Linked DNA regions of Astyanax mexicanus. The protein of the gene in region 2 purifies or fractionates together with the protein of the main gene of each other region. This does not show direct contact. Links are inferred from orthologs where the notes say so. Each region holds a gene or a part of one and is shown on either strand. Other genes may lie near its edges.

What was found.
Region 1: the proteins of usp10 (region 2) and sirt6 purify together in Homo sapiens (affinity purification with western blotting; 4 studies listed by BioGRID, with this or other methods). This does not show direct contact. The link is inferred for Astyanax mexicanus from reciprocal best matches to the Homo sapiens genes USP10 and SIRT6.
Region 3: the proteins of usp10 (region 2) and prkaa1 purify together in Homo sapiens (affinity purification with western blotting; 3 studies listed by BioGRID). This does not show direct contact. The link is inferred for Astyanax mexicanus from reciprocal best matches to the Homo sapiens genes USP10 and PRKAA1.

What each region holds. Positions count from the first base shown.
Region 1 is NC_064411.1:46,344,218-46,351,569, reverse strand, and holds the start of sirt6 (NAD-dependent protein deacetylase sirtuin-6), read right to left. Parts: upstream 3,073-7,352; 5' UTR 2,942-3,072; coding exon 2,876-2,941; intron 1,261-2,875; coding exon 1,133-1,260; intron 1-1,132. Other genes in the region: zgc:165603 (CUGBP Elav-like family member 5), read left to right, coding at 4,412-4,871. UniProt on the Homo sapiens protein: NAD-dependent protein deacetylase, deacylase and mono-ADP-ribosyltransferase that plays an essential role in DNA damage repair, telomere maintenance, metabolic homeostasis, inflammation, tumorigenesis and aging.
Region 2 is NC_064423.1:38,366,913-38,374,533, forward strand, and holds the start of usp10 (ubiquitin carboxyl-terminal hydrolase 10), read right to left. Parts: upstream 3,009-7,621; 5' UTR 2,748-3,008; coding exon 2,727-2,747; intron 1-2,726. Other genes in the region: marveld3 (MARVEL domain-containing protein 3), read left to right, coding at 6,084-6,292, 6,424-6,500. UniProt on the Homo sapiens protein: Hydrolase that can remove conjugated ubiquitin from target proteins such as p53/TP53, RPS2/us5, RPS3/us3, RPS10/eS10, BECN1, SNX3 and CFTR.
Region 3 is NC_064408.1:16,915,265-16,922,214, reverse strand, and holds the start of prkaa1 (5'-AMP-activated protein kinase catalytic subunit alpha-1), read right to left. Parts: upstream 3,095-6,950; 5' UTR 2,946-3,094; coding exon 2,849-2,945; intron 1-2,848. Other genes in the region: kyat1 (kynurenine--oxoglutarate transaminase 1), read right to left, coding at 6,672-6,731. UniProt on the Homo sapiens protein: Catalytic subunit of AMP-activated protein kinase (AMPK), an energy sensor protein kinase that plays a key role in regulating cellular energy metabolism.

The DNA.
Region 1 (7,352 bases), on a different chromosome or scaffold from region 2:
ATTTTCACATTTTTCCACCTTACAACCGCAAACATTAAGAGATGGACCACAACACAAAGCAGGACATTGGCGGGGCCATTCTAACACATGAATATTTGTATTTAAATCATCCCAGTGTAGCTATGGTTGTATGTTAAGGGTCATTGTCTTGTCTAAAGGTGAATCTCCTTCCCGGTCTCAAGTCTTTTGCAGCCTCCAACAGGTTTTCTCACCGGATTGCCCTGTACTTAACTCCATTCATCTTCCCATTAACTCTGACCAGCTTCCCTGTCACTGCTGAAGAAAAGTATCCCCACAGAATGAAGCTGTTATTTTTTTCTCCATACACAGTAGGGGTGGGCAATATTATATTGTATACAATATATCGTGACACAGAAATATCATGATATTAAAAATCCATATCATGATAATAGGGCTGTTCTGTCTTAAAAGTAGTCTATTATTTACTGTGAAGCTTTAGGTGTATTTATTGTATAATTGTTTTAGTTTGCAGTTTATATGCATGCACTAAATATTCTGCAATATTTTTTGCTGCATTATATTATTTTATGCTATATTATATATTTTGCCACATTATGATTATACTGTTATACTATTATACTATATTCCTGAAATGAATGAATTATTTATGTTTTCCTATATCGCCAAGTATATCGTTATCGCAAAAATACCCTGATATATCGTGATATTATTTTAGAGCCATATCGCCAACCCCTAATACACAGCACATTGCATTTAGACCATGTCAAATTTCTTTTTGATTAAAATTTCGAAAACCATGCATCATTTTCGTTTCACTGCTTTGTGTAGGTCTATCACTTAAAATCTCACTATAATATAGTTCATGGTTTTAAGGTGACAAAAGGTAAAAATGTTCAAGGGGTATGAATACTTTAGCAAACCACTACTGCCTGGAGGTGTATTGAGTATTTTTTTTTAAATGTCAAAATATCAAAAATAACATCCTGTACTGTAAAAACATATTTAAACTGGACCCTATATTGGGAACCTTTATTTACCAAAGGATAACATACTAACAAAAAAATCAAAGCAGCAAGTTACGTTCTTTGAAACTTTCTAACTTCTGATCTAACTGCATGTGGAGGAAAAGGAGTGTGAATCTGACTGTTACCTGAAATCAGGAATCCCTGCAGAAGTGCTGATTCCTGCTCCGGAGTGCACCACCATGTACTGAGAATCTCTGATCAGCTGCGCCAACGTCTCCACTTTAGCTTTCAAATCCTCTGCGCTATCAAACTCCTGCAAAAGAGAGAAAGTATTTAAATGTGGCCGATCATCAGGAGATACTGTGGCTCTATGACGTACTGCTTATTTCTGCATTTGGTCTTTTCTATTAGCAAATGAACAATCTGCTCAATGGTGTTTTCAACTGTAAAAAAAAAATATCACTGGCCAACTGCATATCTAATTACAAAGAAAGCGTAGTTAATTATGTTAACTGTATTTGTGGAATACAAACAATTTCTATTCTTCACAGTATGGATTCATAGAAAGAGCCAGAATGTCAACTCTGTTTAAGTTTTATTTATTCAGGATTTTTTTTTTATACAATTGCCAAATCTAAATATTTAACGTTACCTGGATATTACAGATATTATTTTATCCAAGTGTTTACAGCTGTGAACACTTCTGAAACACTTCTTCAGCTTTAAATCCCACAAACTAATTTACATTTTAGCTAAAGGACCAAAACACAGTCCGACTGTCTTAACAGTAAAAGTAAGCTGATGCCATTAAGGAAATGTTTGTCTTTCTGGATATATATCTGGCTATGTTTGGATGGTCCTGAACAAATACCTTGTCTTCAGGGAATATCACTTGTTGCACAAAGCTCTGCATGTATTCATCTACTACTGTATTAATATTTGATAATTAAAAAAAGGGAAAACAGTTTTTATTATTACATTTATATATATAAAAAAATTGATGTCCTAAAGTACAGCAGGAAGTGTCAAACATAAACATTAGCGTAAAACTGGAAATAAAAGCATTCGAAAATACGACTGACTGCAGAACAGCCTGACCACAGGATAACTTCACCATGGCACACCTACACTCTGGAAATAAGGTGAGGTGAACAAACACACATTCACACACTGTTCTATAATAAAAAGTAATTCTCAGGATGTTTAGCATATGTCACTCAGAAACTTCATGATTTAAAATAAAGGATAAAGCGCTGTAATTAGTATATTTTACATACACATATGTTAAAGGGTCTGTGACACACAACTACACCACCATGGGCTCTTTTGGGTTCAGTATAGCTGCCATATTTTATTAGAACTACCTTTTGGCAACTAACGTTACCGGCAAATGAACAGAGACTCTTATTATGGTCGGGTTTTCTGTTATATGGGCTCTTTAAATGCAAAATACATTAACTTATCTTGTTTTATACAGACTGCTTAACAAGCAGGGTATGCTTATGCCAAGCTTACATGCTGTAACGTTAGTGTTTTCTACTAAACCTTCTTGCTAACTTGTTAGCTAACCTAGCTTAGCTTACTAGCATCAACGAATGCAGCTCTTAGTTTAACGTCAACTATCTCAGGTAAAGCTACCTGACTTTATTTAACGTTAGTCACTAGTTAGCTATGTAGGCTAAGCTAGCCTTCATTTAAAAACAAAGCTTTACTGTAGCTAGTAACGTTACATAAAAAACAGTAATAAACATAATAATTATTTAGTAAATGTCATTTTTCAACGAAGTGTCTGACAAGAACCTTCACACACCGGTACAACAAAGCTTAGCTAAACTAGCTAACCAAGGTAGGCTAGTTAGCTTAGCTAAGCAGTAAACAGTGCAGCAGCAGCAGCGGCGGCGGCTTTAGCTACCGTTAGCGTTATTTACCTCAGGCAGCCCGCAGATTCCTTTATCCGCATACGGAGATAACCCCGCGGCGTAGTTAACAGACATGCTGAGCGCTGAGACTGCTGGCCTGCTTAAAAAGCGGGTGAATCGCAGAAAAATCGCCCTTAGATTTAAAATCCCGCGGACTTTTCTCTGCAGCCGGACTCTATTGGGCTCCAGTCGTGCTGTTTCTCCACACTACGTCATACAAAACATGTGCACTACTGTGCAGTTCGTGTGAAACAACGTCACACGTGCGGAACACCGACTCCATACAACAAAAAGATAGATAGATAGATAGATAGATAGATAGATAGATAGATAGATAGATAGATAGATAGATAGATAGATAGATAGATAGATAGATAGTAGGGGTGGGCGATATGGCTCTAAAATAATATCACGATATTTCAGGGTATAGTAATATCATATTCATATAGTATAAGAGTATAACAGTGTAATCATAATGTGGCAAAAAAATAATATAGCATAAAATAATATAATGCAGCAAATAATATTGCAGAATATTTAGTGCATGTAAGTAAAAGAAACACATTTTAAGATTATTCATAACATTTATTAATGTTTCTCTGTGTTAATTAATTACTGTGATGAGAGCATTATTTGTATCTTTTGGGAAACTAAAGCATTCTAAGGAATGTACTTACATTAAATAGAATATGTCATAAAAAGGCTTAGAATAGTTAACAATCAAAAAAATACTACATTTCTTAAAAAAACAGTTCTGAGGAAAGTTTTGTGCGTATTGTTTATTTTTTATATACATATTTGTTTATGTTTATGTACAATTTAGTGCACAACAAATACAACAATCCCACAGTGTATTTATTTACCTTTGTTTGAAAAACACAGAAACTTGACTAAATTCATTTAATTATGATGTGTGGTCCTATTTGTAATTTTTTATTGCTAATTTACTGAAGTTTTACAATTTCCAGTATAATGAATTATAACGCAAAGTAGTGAAAGTGGTTTTTATATTGGAGCATATGACTTAGCATTAATCTACGGTTTTTGGGGTGTGTGTGAGCGCGCGAGCACGCGTTGACCTGCAGGGGGCGCGAGAGCTCTATACTTGAGCATCTTTATTTTTTTCTGGTATCTCTTTTATCTCATGTACTACAAACCCAATACACACACACACACACACACACTACTCCTCTCTCCTCCATCAGGTACGGGCCATGCGCGTGACATGTGTCTAGAACAGAAAGTGAGCCCCCACGTTCTGTTATTTATTTAAGTATTTATTTATTTATTTATTTTTATTCCAGCTGTGCTCTTTCTTTTTTGCTTTTCTTCCCCTTGCCTTGCGCGCGCGCACGCGCTCGTTTGCGCCTGCGTATTATACGTGTATGTGTATGTGTGCGTGCGCGCGAGGGTGCCCGCCCGGGTGTGTGTGTGCGCGTGTGCATGAGTGTGTGCGTGTAAGCGCACGCGCGCGCGCCTGCGTGTGTATGTTGTTATTATTATCATCCCGCCTGCCTGCTCCTCACCGCGCCGCTCGCGCTCAGAATGGCCAGATTCACCCAGACTGAAGCGAGAAGGCAGCATCAGCATCAGCAGCAGCTTCAGCATCATCAGCATCAGCAGCTTCAGCACCACCACCTCCACCACCATCAGCATCAGCCTCCTCCACCCCACCACCACCACCAGCCCCAAATCCAGCCCCAGCCTACCCACGCCAGCGCGCTCCTCAGCGGACCGGGGGCAGCACCGAGCCAGCCGCCAGCGCTCGTCCTCGCGCAGCAGCCCCAGTACGCGCAGATCACGTTCGCCAAACCCATGAGCGGCTCCGAGGCCGTGTCCATACACGCGGACGGCGGCACCATGAAAGACCAGGACGCCATAAAGCTCTTCATAGGACAAATCCCGCGCAACCTCGAGGAGAAGGACCTCAAGCCCCTGTTTGAGCAGTTTGGCAAAATCCACGAGCTCACCGTGCTGAAGGACCGCTACACCGGCATGCACAAAGGTAAATGATAAGGATGCTTATAGGGGGTGTGGTGGTGGTTTTTTATCTGTGTATTTTGTGTGAATCTTTGTTTTTTTCTAAATGTTTTTTAAGTGATTTGAGAAATTTGCAATCATTATACCAAATGCACAAGGCTCGTGCGTAAACGATTAGCCAAACGGACTGTTGCTCCGTCCCTCTCTCTCTCATTCTCTCTTTTGATCTTTGTTGATCCCTAAATTTCTCCTCGCTCGTGCACGCTTACACACTTACACACCGATCCACACTTATACAGTAATGAATACATATTACTGTAGGAATGTTACGAAATGAAATCATTTATGTCATTTTATGTCATTAACCTATTAGCCATGATTAGACACGAAAACAGACACTTGATCAGGTACATGTCTTTTTCCTTTTTTTTTAATAAATTCACTTTTACAGCTTTTATACAGTCATTGTGTTTCTATTGTTGTTTTACATTTTTATTTTCTTATTTCTTTTGTGGCCAAAAATCTTTTAATCACAAAAGTTTACCATTACTCTTCAATTTCTTTTTTGTTTTTTATTAATATGCAAAAAATAGTGATGCTTTAAAACAAAATAAAACATGGCTGAAATTGACTAGTTTATCAAATATCAAATACTGAACATGTTTTTTTTTACAGGTTTTGATTCATTTTTGCACAAAATAAATAGCATAAATGTGCAGTTACAAAACTACAATTAAAAAAAGAAAAAAACTTTTACATTTTTTGTCATCATTAACACACAAACAGAGCACAACATGACTTATTTATTTTATATTTAATATTTATATTCCCGATTTGATCATGTCACGATTGTGTTTTTTTTTTTTGCCATTTTTGACCAAATAAATATTCGATGCACTGTCGATCAAAAGACAATTCATATTAAGAATCCATTTTTTTGTTCTTTGTTTGTGTTTGTTACGTTTGTTTTTAAAGCAGGCAGAGAGTCACGAGTCACGATCTGTAACTAACACACTGACTGATAGTGGTGGCTGCGCTCGTGCACGCTCGCGGTCACTCCCACTCCTCACGCACATTTTGCACGGTGTGCGTTCGCGTGTGGGAGCGCGCGTGTGCGTTTGTGCGCGCGCGCGCGCGCGCTCGCTCGCTCGCTCGCTCGCGGAAGTAGGGCAGCCCCGCGCGCACATAATGCATATGATTTAGGAGCCCCCCTCCACCCTCCACACATCACCCTCCCTCCCAAACCCCCCAACCCCCCAGTCTTCTTCATATTTCTATATAGGATGGAGGACTGTTGCATCGAGCGTGCGTGCGCGCGCGCGTGCATGGGCATGGGCGCTCATGCATTTTTGCTGTGTTCTTCTTTTTTTAAGAAATAGCGAATAAACGATGTTCAATTCGAGCATTTTTGTAGGTTTTTGTTTTATATTCTGACATAAAAACATATTTTTCAAGCATAATTTTTATTTTAAATATTTTTGGTCTGTAGTAACAAAAAAACGAGGGTGTATCAGCATGACGCTGTTATTTGAGATGTGTCTCTGTGTGTGTCTATGTGTGTGTGTGTACAAGAATGACACAGGATTATGAAATGAACAATACATCAGTCCATACAGCACTTGTAACCTGTTGTATTTATTTGTCTTGTATTTTGCTTTTTATACTCAGCACAGAAGTAGCAATGAGCTCTATCTATATGGAGGAAACACATCCATTCCATTACATGCTCTGAAGGCACATGCTTGTTACATAATCACTCATTTTAAAGGAGTACTCCAGTGTTTTCCAGCCTAAACTCTGTCTGCAGCATCTGTAACATACAGTCAGCTATGGACACCAATTGCAACATGTTTCCTCTGCGTCATGGCAGAAATATTATATATACACAAAGAAATGCACATAAAAACCATCAAAACTGATATTTATCAGTGGAAAGCTCTGTTAATGACACCCCAACGTATATTTTTCCAAATGTGCTGAGAAATGCTAGAACATCCATGATATCCTCAGAATAGGTACTGTATATTTTGTATGAAACCAACAACAAGATTGATTATGATACAAGATACATATCAGGGCTGATATTAGGGCTGCAAAATGCTGGTAAATATTGACCTGCTATATTTAAACAATAGTACAGGAGAGGGAGTACTATATTGTGTAATATTGGCCACAGGCCAAGTGCCGTAGGTCAGAACAGCAGTGCCAATATTACACGTTATAGCACGAACCTCGAGTGTATTATTGCAATTATACTACAGTTCCATTATCGCTGTTTATTAAAAGATTTTCAGTTAAAGGGGAAGAGAAAATATGATCTGCTTGTTTATAAACACTACACGAGTTAAAATAGTTCCATTGCTGCTCTGCTTGTAGCTGCGCTGTTTGGCTTGTAAGCGCTGCATCGTTGCTAGGTTACCTGTATGTGGCGGAGTAATACATGGAGAGCTTTGGTTACAGTGCAGTACCGGCTGATAACGGCACTCATAGTACGCCTCTCAGCCAA
Region 2 (7,621 bases):
AGTTTATAATGTTAAAAGTGAGCTACTGTTTCTACTTGTAGTTTGCCATGGTTTTTACTAGTAATACTAACATTAAAGAGATCTTTAACTTGAGTTTTTACTGTGAAATTGAGCTACTTTTACCTCATTTTAAGGGAAAACAGCTTGCAATAGTTTCTACAAGTAAGGTTTACATTACAGGAACATTAAAGACACTTCTTAGTAGTACAAACTTAATAAAAAAAAACTAATTATGGCTTCTGTTGTGATATTAAAAGCTTTGTTGGTATGTAATTATGATTTTACTTGAAAAAATTAATAGCTGACATAGGTAAGCAAGCAAAAACTGCATTACAGAGCTGTAATTCGAGTTTTAATGTTAAAAGTGAGCTACTGTTTTAACTTGTAGTTTGCCATGGTTTTTACTAGTAATACTAACATTAAAGAGATCTTTAACTTGAGTTTTTACTGTGAAATCGAGCTACTTTTACCTCATTTTAACGGGAAACATATTACCACAGTCAGCTTGCCCTATGTAGGTATTTAGCTAAGTGGCTAACGTCAAAGCACGCGTGAATCGGCAGTCAGAGCGAAGTTCCCTCGCTAGCTAACTAACCGCTAGCACACAGAACGAGGCCACCTGAGACATATGGGCTAAATAAACCACGTTATTTCACACGACAGTCATTATTAGGAGCAGATATGTCGACACATAGCGCGTGTCGGGGCTTCTGCACGTCGTTTAACTGCGTGTTTTCCAACAAACCATTTTGAATGAAGTCGCTAGCTAGCTAACTAAAAGCAGCACACGGTGAGCCCGCCCCCAATCAACAGGCCCACCACACTGTCAGTCATTAGCCTAGCTAACACCACCTGATATCTTTAAAACACCATTTACAGCTAAAAAAACTGCCAAAAACAGCGCAATACTGCGGTGTTTAAATATATAGAGTCTACTTACTCAGTGTTTAATCGCTGTTCATTTAAATAAAAGCTAAACACGTTGTTTCAGAGCCTTCTTGTCTGCCTAGTCACATTAGCCATTTAGCTTAGCTTAGCTTAGATTGGCTTAGCTGATCTAGCGTTAGCTCTGTTAGCCGCCGTGGCTAGCGTCCGGGCCTGCTGCAGCTCAGCCGGGCTCTCCACACTTCCACCAGTTCAGCTCAGAAAACTGTCACTCAGACATTAAAACAGCTTTAAATTAAACTAAATTAACCAAACATAAAAACCCCACTGCTTTAAAACGGTATTAAAGCGAGGAAGCTGCTTAAAAACTCGTGGTAGAGATATATAGCTGCTACAGAAGGCGAATCCAGGTCCAGGCACTGAAAATCCACCCCCGGGATTTTGCTCCAACTGCCTGGTTTTCAACTTAACTTTCTACTTAAAATATTCAAATCATTTATTTATATACTTAAATCAAAAATCAAAATATATATACGTATTATAATCTCAAGTAGTACACACTACAAATAATAACGTGCAAAACTTACAAAAAAAGGCAAATATAGCTACAAAAGGATAGAAGAATGGACATGGGAATTGTCAAAACTTCAATATCAATATTGTTTATATTGTTAGAAAATGTCTCAATAACAGCAATATGATTTTTAAACACTAAACACTAGAAACATTTTAATATACACTTTTCACAACTTTTCACAATCTTCAACTGACCAATTTGGATTTCAATGTGAATAACATGAATCTGCAAATTTATCATTGACATTTTCAGGGTTTTGCTGTTAAAAATTAAGAAATAGCTCATGTCTCATCTATTCTGTACGGTTTTTGCTACTTACTGTTTTTACTTTTTATTTGTTTACAGTTTTCGTTTTTTTTTAGAAGGTTTTACTTGTTTCATTACTTGATTGTTACATTTTCTATTCTGTTAAGCTTATGTTATTTCAAATCAAATCAACCTTATTTGTGCAGCACTTTTTACAACTGATGTCACAAAGCAGCTTTTTAGAAATGTGCAGTACAGAGAGTCAGGCAAAACACTGAACATAAAATTCAGATCCCCCAGTGAATATTATTATATACAATAATAGCCTTCATAAGTTACTGTTTACGAAGTAGACTAATGTTTATATATGTTTCATATTATATATGGTTTGTACTGGTTGTTTGAAACTGTTCAATTTATAAAATAGTATTTATTTAGTTGCAGTAGTTGTTTCTTATAATAAAAAAGTCATATAGCCAAGAATACCGTTATATAAAATATCGATATATGATTTGAGGGCTATATCACCCACCCCTAATACTGATGCTTAAGTGTTATTTTTGCACAGTTTAATACTGTATATTTGCTGCAGCTGGGAAGTGAAGGGGGGTGCTTGCGGGGGGGGTGCTAAATCTGAGAGAAATCCCGGTCTGGATTTCACCCTCCTGGATCCGGATTCAGCGCCACTGGGTGTTGAGCTGAGCTGCGGGCCTGCAGCAGCAGCACCACGCGCTGGAGTGCTGCGCTGTGCGCGTGCGTTTCAATGAGCTCTCCAATAGTAGCAGCAGCAGCAGTAGCAGCAGCGCGAGCGAGCTAATAACGCTACACTGGCTATCTAACACTAGCTACCAGTCTACGTACATTTCTGAGCGCACGTGCTCCACATTAAGCACCACATTCACATGCATTCAAACATTCAACTCAGTCCCCGGCCTCGCCTCGCCACGCGCTGCGTGTTAAGCAGGCGCTCGCGCGCAAACACAGGCTCTAGCTAGCGCGAGCGGCGTTACCCTGTTACCTGGTTGCTGCGCGAGGCCATGCTCCCGGTGACTCTGCTCTCCTCCTCGGCGCGCGCGGGCAGGTGGGTGGGCGGGTTATCCCTCGGTTCTGGCGGCTGCGGGACGGTAACGGGCGCTCGCTCGCGGGCTCGCTCACTGTGCCGTGCCGTCCATCTCCTCGCTGGCTCGCGCTCTCTCTCCGCGGGTTGTTTCGGGACGTGTGGCTCCACTACACCGAGTCACGCTGCTGCTCGCGCCGCCGCCGCCATCTTTGTCTCGCGCTCGCTCTCTCCGCTCTGTCGCGCTCACACGCGCATGCACACGCACGCGCGCGCTCTCGCTCGTTCACGTCCGGGGTAGGAAGAGGGCACGCGCACTTTTTAAAATATTTTTATTTTTTAATTCAAGAGTTAAACCAACAGTGGCGACTCTACTATTTTTAATGTGTTTTAAATGATTAAGAGAAAAACAAAGCCAATTAAATTTAAATTAAATAATTGCATACAGGTGTTCCAATCACTTCCATGTCCACAGGTGAATAAAAAATATAAGGAACACATAAGGAATCATGAAGTCACACTGTGAAGCATTTTGGTTATCTTATCTTATCTGAGTCTTAGTCTGGACTTATTTTGTGCAACAGAGGGAACTCCTGGTATTCATTTCCTAGGGTGGTCCTGATGAGATCCAGTTTCATCACAGAGTTTTGAATTGATCCATGAGTGACCTTCATTTCTTAAAGTATTTTTTTTCTTTACTTAGTTTACTTAGTAGGTATTGCCATAATATGGATTAAAGCATTAGTCAAATAGAGCTATTCACTGTATACCAACTCAAAAAATGGCAAGTTCTGCAAACTGTCAACTGTACAAGAGGGGCTACTTTGAAGTATTAAAAAATATAATATTATTATAACTTATTCTGGTTTGCTTAACACTTCTTTCATTACTAAATCATTTTATGTGTTTTTTTATAGTTTGGGTGACTTTAGTATTAATCTACAATACAGAACATTTCTAAAATGACAAAAAAAACACAGAATTTAAGGTGTGTGCACACAAACTTTTAACTGGTACTGTATATATGTACTCCCTGTCTTGTTTTTTTTTTGCAAATACATTAAAACTATAGAACATTAAAAATACTAATAAATTAATCAGTACAAAAAAACTACAGTACATTGCTTATTCATTTTTTTATTGTGGAGGTACACAACATTTAACAATTAAGGAAATCCACGAAAACTAAAATAAAACTAAATAAAAACAGTGACAATATATTATTCAATTATTCATTCATTCAATCATTAATTCATTCATTTACATCCAGCAAGTTGTATTTATTAATGCCTTTAAAATATATAATTATTTTATTTCTATATGGTGTGTTGGTTTAAAAACTGTAATTGTATTAATCTCAATTACTATTATCTTAATTCATGCATTTTTAATCATTTCCAAATGTATTTATAAATGCATGTAACATATATAACATATAGGGGTGTTAGTGAGAATGTGTAAGATGTGAGAATACATAGGTAAATGCGAAATATTTTAATTTCTTTTATTATTTATTTAATTATTATATTTTTTAAATATAGGATGGGGCTATCCCACACAGAAAATCAATTAATATATGGACATGTATTTCTTTACATATGAATTTATTTATTTTATTTTTTTTTAATTTAAGGAAAAATAATAGTTTAACATGTAATTTTTCCATATGGTTATGTTAGTGGGAATGGGAGAGAAATGAGAATACACAGTATAAATGTAAGATGGCGCATTGGTATAAAAACTGCAATTTTATTTATTTTAGTTATTATTGTCTTATTTGTATCTTATTGATATATATTTTTGTATTTATATATATTTATTTAATTAGTCCATTTTAATATGTATTTCTTAATATATGAAAAAAGGTAAATGCGAAACGTATTTTTTTATTTAAAAAAATTAATTGATAGAGAAATGTATGAATGCATTTTACAAGAGAAGGGTCCACAGTGATTTGATTGTTCCTGTGTGAAAGAGCGTAGTTGTGGGCGGGGCCTGGAGTCACAGGTGAAGGGGAGGAGCTTACAGACACAAACACAAGCTGAAGAGTGACCAGGAAGCGTTTTGTTTAATTTAAACACCATAAATCTCCTGTTTTACAGACAGATCCTGAGGTAGGTGTCGCTGAGTCGTGTTTAAATGCTGTATCTGGTGGCAGAGTGGGGTTTAATATCTTTAATTCAGACCTGCTCACCTGTACAGAGTTAGAAAATGTGACTGTTAGCTTTAGCTCACAGGGTTAGCCTTCTTTTACCTGTCTGTTCACACAGAAAATCACAGTACAGTGAAAAAAAACAGTGGACAGAAGTCTTGGCACACCTGCTTATTCTGTGTTCCTTCTGTAATTTATTTAGATTGGCTGCTTATATATACTCCTCTAGCTTTAGTTGTTTAATTGCAGTTTCTATTTCAATTTCTGTTTGTCATTTGCTAATAATCCATAATTGTCGTTTTATTTTTCGTTAAGGAAACCCTGTAAACACCTTTCATCAATATAAAAATCAGAGTACATTTCTTCACACAAACTTATCACAGTTTTCTGCATTTCGTACCATCTATACAGGATTTTCTTTATGAACTAACCCAACAAAATGAGTAGGGTTTAAAATAAGTCTATTCTTAGTTAATTTTGTAAGGTATCATTACTAAAATTGAACATTTTCTTTTTGAGTTCTTTAAGTTCTAATAATTCCATTACACTTAAAGGAGAACTCCGGTGTAAAATTGACATTTGGTGTAGTAAAACATGATAAAAAAGTAAGTTACCTTTGTTAAATAGCTCCCTTGAATTTTTGCACCAGGAGAAAGCAGTGTGTAAGACTGGTGGAGGAGAACATGATGCCAAGATGCATGAAAACTGTGATTAAAAACCAACCAGGGTTATTCCACCAAATATTAATTTCTGAACTCTTAAAACTTTATGAATATGAACTTGTTTTCTTTGCATTATTTGAGGTCTGAAAGCTCTGCATCTTTTTTTGTTATTTCAGACATTTCTCATTTTCTGCAAATAAATGCTCTAAATGACAATATTTTTATTTGGAATTTGGGAGAAATTTTGTCCGTAGTTTATTGAATAAAACAACAATGTTCATTTTATTAAAACAACTGATTCAGAAACTTAAGTGGTCTCTTAATTATATATATATACATATATATACATATGTGTGTGTGTGTGTGTGTGTGTATATATACAAAAATCATACACCAGTGCCAATATCTTACATTATAGTGCAAACATACAGTGTATTTCTACAAATTTCTGTAATTAATGAGGTTTAACCTCCTGTATTTACTGTATAACAGGTAAATTCAGCAATGCCTGACCGGCATCACCAGTCCAGGACCCAGGATCGTCCCAGTCGTGATGGGAGAGACAGGAGCAGAGAGAGGGAGTACCGGAGAGATGATCAGAGATACAGGGAGGAGAGGAGCGCTGGGTATCCCAGAGATGAACACAGCAGGACCCAAATTAACTCAAAACCACCGGCCTATGAGGACGCCTATCACCACGAGCCTCAGGAAATGTGAGAGACACTCTTATACACACCTTAATACAGTATATTATCAACAGGTTTATTATAACTTCATCAAATCAACACCCATCACTTTTAATGACCATTAAAATCTGAAATATTGATTTTTTTTTTTTATGTAGGTACTCAGACTCGTCAACCTACGAGTCAACGCACCAGCCGTCTCTTTACAATCTACGATATCTTACAACTTCCAGAGGTTCGTGGACATGTACTTTATTTTAAGCTTAGAGCCATAAAGAGAGTAAAAAAAAAAAACAAATACATAAATAAAGATTGCTGAAACAAAGAGTCCAAAGTAGAGATACTTTAATAAGAGTTTTAATAATAGTAAAACAAAATAAAAAAATAATAATATAAATATGATACCAGCCAAAGGATTAAACGTACCTTCGCATTCAGTGTTTTAGTTTTTGAATCCACCCAGATTATGAATAAGGAGTAACAAATCAAAATACCCATCAGGGCAGTCCTGATGAGAGCCAGTTTCATCATGATGTTTACAGGTCTTTGCGACTGTAAAATCTAAAATGTATGTTAGTTCATATTCTGGTTCTGGTTCAACATTTTTTTGTATACTAAATTGTTTCATATGTTTTTCTTAATAGTTTTTTTTTAAATGTTAAAATAATGAAAAACCACTGAATTTAAGGTGTAACTTTTGACCTGTGCCACATATAATATAAAATTGTGGATCTACTGAAAATCCAGAAACTAAAATTATTTTATCAAAAATTGCAAAATTAAAATTAATTTAGTATTATTTGATTACAATTTAAAATTTCCTTATAAATTACTTGTTAATTGAATAGCTAAATTTAGTTAAAAAAAATAAAATGTTAGGGGGTCTTTCTGATTGGGTGTCTGCCTTAAAAAAAGCTTAAGCTCTCCTTATAACTGAAGGTTCGTTTTATATGAAATAATAAAAGGCATGAATTCAGACTAATCTGTGTTCGATATACGGTTTCCATGTATGGAAGGATTCTGTATGAACCATTTTGTGGCATTGCATTTTTGTTCCTTACAAAATTACAGTATTATTGTATAAATAAACAGGCAATTGGGCATTTTTGGGGGGAATTGATTTATAAAAAAAAAAAAAAAAAAAAAAAAACGTGTGGATTGCACAAGAGTAAATAATGTGTGGAACGCTCTGCACTCTCCTAGAGTCTGTATGATCTGTATGTGTGAATGATGCAGATGGAATGCAGGTGAAAGTTCACCTATGTTATTTCATGATTAGAATGACAAAAATGAAAAACTCTCCAGGATTTCTATTGAATGAATTTTGCCCAGAGGGAGATTTAATTTCAGTTCAAT
Region 3 (6,950 bases), on a different chromosome or scaffold from region 2:
AACCTATAAACAAATAACCTTCTCTTTGGCCACTGAAATGATCCTCTCTGGCTTTGAATGTGGCTTAGACAAACATGCATGAACTGTAAACAGCAAAGCATGCTGTGAGCAACCATCTGGGTTAAAAACACAAGCCTACATAGCACAAACTCTGAGTTTTCATTAACTAATGGTTCATATAACTCTGTTATTTAACATCTATTTAATTCTCTATTAACTATTTAATCTAAAGAATAACTACAATAGGGGTAAAAAGTGTCTTTGTCTGCAAAATTAAACAGATTGCCAATAGAACAGTGATAATATTGTGTAATTCGTTAGTTGTAGAGGATTCTTCATGAAGAAGCTCCTATATTTATGAAAAAGTAAATTACCATAGCCTAGCTAAGTTACAGCCTTCATACATTACTCGTAATCTCATGTAATGTTTCTTTGTTATGAACACATGAAATTAAGCAGTAAATGAAAAAGCATTTGGCCTCAACAATTTCCCATTTTTAACTCAAAGATGGTTTGGAATTAGTTGAACAGAAAGACGTGAAAGAAGAGCAGCCAACAAGTAAGTGCTCAGGACCTCTGAAAACTTCTTCAAAACTGTTGGACAAATAATTGAGGTTCAACCTCATGAGGTGAACAGAGAGAAAACCCAGAGTTGGCATAACTGTCATCAAAGAATATGGTGCATCTCTGAAGAAATATTTAAAACATATCATTGAATGTTTAACACTTTCTTTGTTTAGTACATATTTCTATTCATGTTTCTTCATAGTTTTGACAGTCTTCAATACTAATATTAACATTCTGGATTTAAAAAATTAAAACAGAAAAATTTAATGAATTTGAAAGGGGTGCACAGTACTTACTTAATATTATTTACCATTATTTTGTTTTTAAAATAAGTAAATAATAATTACTAATGCACTTACTTAATGCACCTAGTCTAGGCAGCAGCTGTCATCAGCAGATAAACAAAAAGGTAGTCTTGGATACAAATTAAAACATACAACACCAGCGCATACACAGAACAATAGAAGACTTGCAACTAAACTAGTGGTTTATACAGGCTGAAGTAGGTACAAGAGCAACGCTTAGAGAAAAGAAAAAGATAAACATGTATTACTGCTAAGTTTAAAAGTTGGAGACAGTAAGTCTAGTCATTTAATGGTGAGTGTGTGGCATAATCCACCACCCTTGCATTTCACACTGATTGGATGAGTTCAGATGCCTGGATTTAATCACTAACTACAGTTTACACAAAAGAGAGCAATTGAGAGACCCTCAGAAAAAAAAATCCATCAAACTTCCAATACTAAAATCATTCTACCCTCATTAAATGAATTACTCTCAACCACAAACATTTAAAATCATAATTAGTGACCACAAGTAAGGTAAAAATATTCAATCATAATACTTAAAAACATTTTCACAATATGCAATACATAATTCTAACATGCAGATATTAAATCCTACTATCTAAACCTGAACCTATGCTTCACTTAGTAAGTTGTTTAGCACTGAAATAAGGAGCAGGACTTCTTTTAAAGTTAGAACACGTAGAAGGCATGTTGCACCTTATATCAAAGCTGATAGAAAAGATGCTAGAAATGTGATCCTTTGGGGATTCCTAATATATATTAATGCTTAGAGAACAAAAAGTACATAATGATGTCAGCCTGTGTTGAATAAACAAGACCCCGACTCATTCACTGCAGTTGCTGTACAAATACACCTCTGGACACGCTTATGTACTCAATGTATAAGGCTTTTAACACCCTTATATTTTTAATGATATAATTTTCCTTCTGGTTGCAATAGTTAAGCTACTTAGTGTAGATGACTCAAATTATTTCAATAATATAGTTACACTGATCATAAAGCAACGTTTAGCAGTTGAATTTTCTGACAATAGAGAATTGGGTATAAAACTTAATCAAACATTTTTTTTTCATTCAACAGAGTGAAGAAAAAATTGGTTTTCCTCCAAACTGTTAATTATCTAGTTTTTCATTTTAGCCTTTCGCAATCAGAATTGCAAGAAAAATGAAAAGGTAAACCTTCTCTCGATTTTGTGGGGGGGCAGACATAAAGAAATTATTTGGAAAAATGGATGAAAACTTATTTCTTGTACAATAAACTACATAAAAAATAAATAATGAGTTTTTACATCCACTTTTCCATTTTTGCATTTAGCTTCAAACGGTCAGACTTACCTTTTAATTTTTCGTGAAAGGCAAAGGCTGAAGTGAAACTACAGAATTAATCATTTGGATTTCTTCTTTACTATACTGAGTGAAAAAAATGTATGACTACGGTTTATACCCAATTTTCGAATTTTATTTATATTTTCTTAGTATAATTTTCTAATTTCGAATTTAGTTTGATACGGTCAGAAAATTAATCTGCTAAACGTTAAACTGACCGGGAACCAAGTCTGCTTAGCCTAGCTAACCTAGCTCCCGTTAAAACCAGCGGGCTCGCTAACAGATAAAGCTAGTGCCAGCTAGCCAGCTAGTTATCGTTAGCTAATATAAACAACCAGCGTACGGACCCGAAACAGCAGAATAATCAACATACAGCATATAAACAGCGCTAAACCTCGCTTCAAACTACTTAATGCGCGTAGTGTTGACGGCCAGGGAGACTTAATTCGCTTCTGAAAAGCTGCAAACGTCAGTTAACGTTAGCTAGCCTAGCTTAGCTAGTGTTGCTATGCTAGCGGTTAACTAACGCGGCTAACGGGTGGGTTAGTTTCCTTAGCTACCTGAAGCCCCCACTCACTCACTCACTCACTGAGTGATAATCATCATCCTCCGGACGCGGATTTCAGCTAAAAATACACAAGATTTACCTTTAACTTTCCCGAATGTTCCCACTCCCAGCGTGTCTCCGAGAATGTAATGACCGATTTTCACCCTGCCTTCATGCTTGGGCTTGTCAGTCGCCATCTTCCCCACGTTAGCCCGACCGAGCCGAGGCGGCGGGGCTGGGCAGCGGCGGTGCGGATCTGCGCGGCGGAGGGACGGACACGATCACAGCGGAAAGCAGCAGCGATACTACTGAACTACCCAACTACTGCCGAGCTACAGCGGAGCCGGTCTGAGTACAGAGCTCCGCCCACAGTGAACTACTCAGACTGTAGGGGGCGCACTGCAGCCACGGGATTCAAGACTGCTCGATTCAAGATTCGACTCGGAGTCGACTCTGAGTCATAAGCGTGTGCCAAAAACTATGGCTGCGTCCAAAAACTTTTCTAATTCCAGGTCTTATTCCATCGTTTTTCATTCAAATGTCGAGTATGAATGAATGCTGAAGTGCTTCAGTGTTTCTGTATAACCCTGCTTTATTTCACTGGATTAGTGGTCTCTGAAGAAGGACAGGATTTCTGCTCTTCAAGTCATGTTAAGAGACTCTGATTCATAAGCCTTGTCCCAAACCATGGACAATTTAAAACTGTCTAGTTGTGGTCTCTAGTATGAATGAATGCCATGTGAGCCCTTTTTTTGTAAAAAAAAAAAAAAAGTATTAGTGGTCTCTAAAGAAGGACATGATTTCTGCTCTTCAAGTTAAGTTAAGAGGCTTTTGTTATGAAATTACGTTCCTCCGGGACAATGGTGCAAGATCAAACAACAATACAATAGACAACATAGAGTGTGTGTGTGTGTGTTTGTGTAGAATGATGGGTCGGTTCAGTACAATCTTTATGTGTATGTGAAAAGCAGTGGTGTGGGGGGAGGGGGGTGTCAGATCAGTTCTGTGTGAATGTGTTGGGTGTGTGGGGAGGAGGTTGATCTCTGTGATCTCTGTGAGTTGAGGAGTCTGACTGCCTGGTGGATAAAGCTGTTGCAGAGTCTGGTAGTGGAGGCTTGGATGCTCATGTATCTTCTGCCAGACGACATCAGAGCAAAGAGTCCGTGTGAGGGATGGGTGGATCGTCCACAATGCTGGTGGCTTTGCGGATGCAGCGCAGTGTAGATGTCGGTGATGGAGGGGAGAGAGACTGATGATTCTTTTAGCTGTCCTCACAACTCTTGTCCATGAATATTCATACATGCAAACATATAGCCTTTGATGGGCTAACAGCACTGCAGCAGAGAACTCTTCCTGCCTTCCCCCAACAGTCAATTTTAGAGCTCTAAAACTCGAAGGACAAAATGAGTGCTAGGTAGAGTTAACCCTTACACTTTCCTTAATGTCAGACTCTCAGAGCCCCCCGCGGCATTGGTGACATTTCTTTCAGCTAAACCAACACTAGTAAACTCTTACCTCAGACTTGGTGATTCGGTGCTTAGGCAATTTCACCACGTTGAAGCCCCATAGAGTCTGCTCTATATCATAAAATCGGGTGATTTGACCTGTGTTCTGTCGAGTTGTGCTACCTTGTCAAACCGTGCTTCCCTAGTGTTTATTTAAGGTCTCTGTAAAACGAGGAATCCACCGGAGAGCCAATTTAAACCTACAATTTAAACGCGAACTAGCTGGTGAGGCTATGAATACTATTTCACAAGTTGATGTGGAAACAGATGCTTTTCTTAAACAACAATTTTTCTGAGTATTTTCTTTTCTTAGCTACTGCAAAAATGGAGGTTAAAGAACAGTTCATATGCAGCCTGCATATACAACTCAGAGAGACCTATTATATTTCACAAACAACAAGAAAAAGTGGATTTTACATTAATTTACTATATACCATTGTTTCTTGTGTATTTACACACACAAGAAACAATGTTTTTCTAATTTTTGAAACTCAGATTTTAATGGTTCTTAAAATGTGTCCAAAGCATATTTTTAGATTTGTGCTAAATTATTATCTCATATGGAAACATGTTAAGATTAAACCTCAACACAGATAATTACAGTTAGCCGACATGTTTTATTAGCACATAATACACACTTTTAAAGCACAGGATCTTAATGACTTGAATTGTGCATCAATATGTAAGCAAACATAGAAATAGATTAGTTCACTATTGACCAATAACAAATGAAACCACTTAAGGAGTTTAAGAATCTGAAGCAGCATAAGATGATGCAACATCATGGCAGTATTCACTGTTTATTCTGTATGTCATTATAGGTGTTTTCTAGCTAATCCAGAAATATATTAATGGGTAGGTTAGTTTAAGATAAATCAATTTCACGTCCTTTGTTTTTGCTTTTGGGTTTTAATTTCTGAAGTGTGGAACTATACTGGTTTTGCAGTGAACATTAGCATAGATAATATGTGCAGTACTAATGTGCTGATTGCATTTGAGGAAGGCAGTTCCTTTCGTTCAGAAACTATTGTTACTCCTCCTCTCCTACTCCAGAAGAAGGATGTAATAGGACATTGAATATTGATAAACTGAGCCAATCACAATGCTCTTTTTCAGCTCCCCTAACACTGCCCAGACAATCACAGCTGCTGCAAACAGTCAGCTAATGTAGGGTCATCTGGATAAATATGAATGTTTATTTAAACTTCATTTAAAAATACTACATTTCTGAAATTATGTAAAATTCCACAAATTCTGCTTGTTTTTAAATTCCACAAGTTCAGGTTAGACTTGAGATATCCCACATTAATGCACTTTGTTCAAACTCAATATAGAATTCTACATATAATGAGAAGACACAAATTCAACTTCAAAACATGTTTTATTTTACACTGATCCACCTAATTCCAGTACAACTTGCACACACCAAAATGGCATTAAAACAAACAGGATGGAAAGTAAACTCAACAGACAAACAGACATCTATTTGTACATCATAATCAATAAAAACAGTGTGTCTATTGTATAGACTCACAAATAATCTGTATGAGCAATAAGAAGTTGATTTCTCTAAAGGAGTGCATTTTTCATTCACACTTGTGCAACACTACAGTCAACCTGAAGTAGTTTTAATGAATACAACCCAATGCATACAGCATAAGCAATCAGACTACTGTTGTTTAGTGTGGAAAGTTGCTGGATGGGCTGCTGTGAGCTGAGGTAGTTTAACTAATATTAAACAGCTGACTACAACCAAATCCTGAGAATTAAGCAAAAACATATATTTTTGTGAAAAACAAAACAAAAGATACCTTGATCAAAACTGACAAATGTACATAAGACTGTGTTGTTGTTTAGTACACAATACAACTCTATTAAAATGTTAATTAACTGTAATGTTTCTTTTTGATGGAAGCAACTAGCTCCCTCTGTTGGCCAAACATGTAAAATCACCACATGTAAAATTAACTCCTCCCTGTATGAATGCATGATTCACTTACTCACTAGAACAGTTTTAGATAAGCTGCATCTCAGCAAATACTGCTGACTACATTCTGTTCAGCATAACTTTTTTTTTACAAACATTTTGAAATATAGCAAATCACATGAATCATTATGATACGTATTTCTACCTCAGATGATTCAAAAGTTTCACTTCCCAAATTTCTGTTACGGGTTCTATTTAAGTTTGTATTCATTCAAACAAGATGAATAAAAAAATACTAAAATCCAGCTTTTATTAAACAATTTTGTCAAATATTAAAATATAACATTTTCTAAATAAACACTTTTCTATAGAACTATACTGAACCAGGCGTCCTTGGCTAATTATATTGTCCAACTATTGAGGTCTGCTGTGTGAAGCTCATATTGGACGGCTTTAAATAATCATCTAATGTCTTCAAAAGTGGCCAGCACTCACTGTTTGATTCTCCACTGTTTCAGTATATCTTCTGCTGCCTTCAGTGTTGAGTCCTCCTATTTTAGGAAAAGAAAATTAGAATTAGAAATAGAATTACAAATCTAAAACCATGCCTTTACAATGTTTCAATATACCAAAATATGCCTGCTCTTATTGCCATCTTTGAAGAGATCCCATTACATCAGTGTAAAATGCACAAGATATATCTGTTCTTCTAAAAAATGTTTCAGTGTTTGTCAGTGTTATCACATTTTAATGGTGATACATTTTAATGA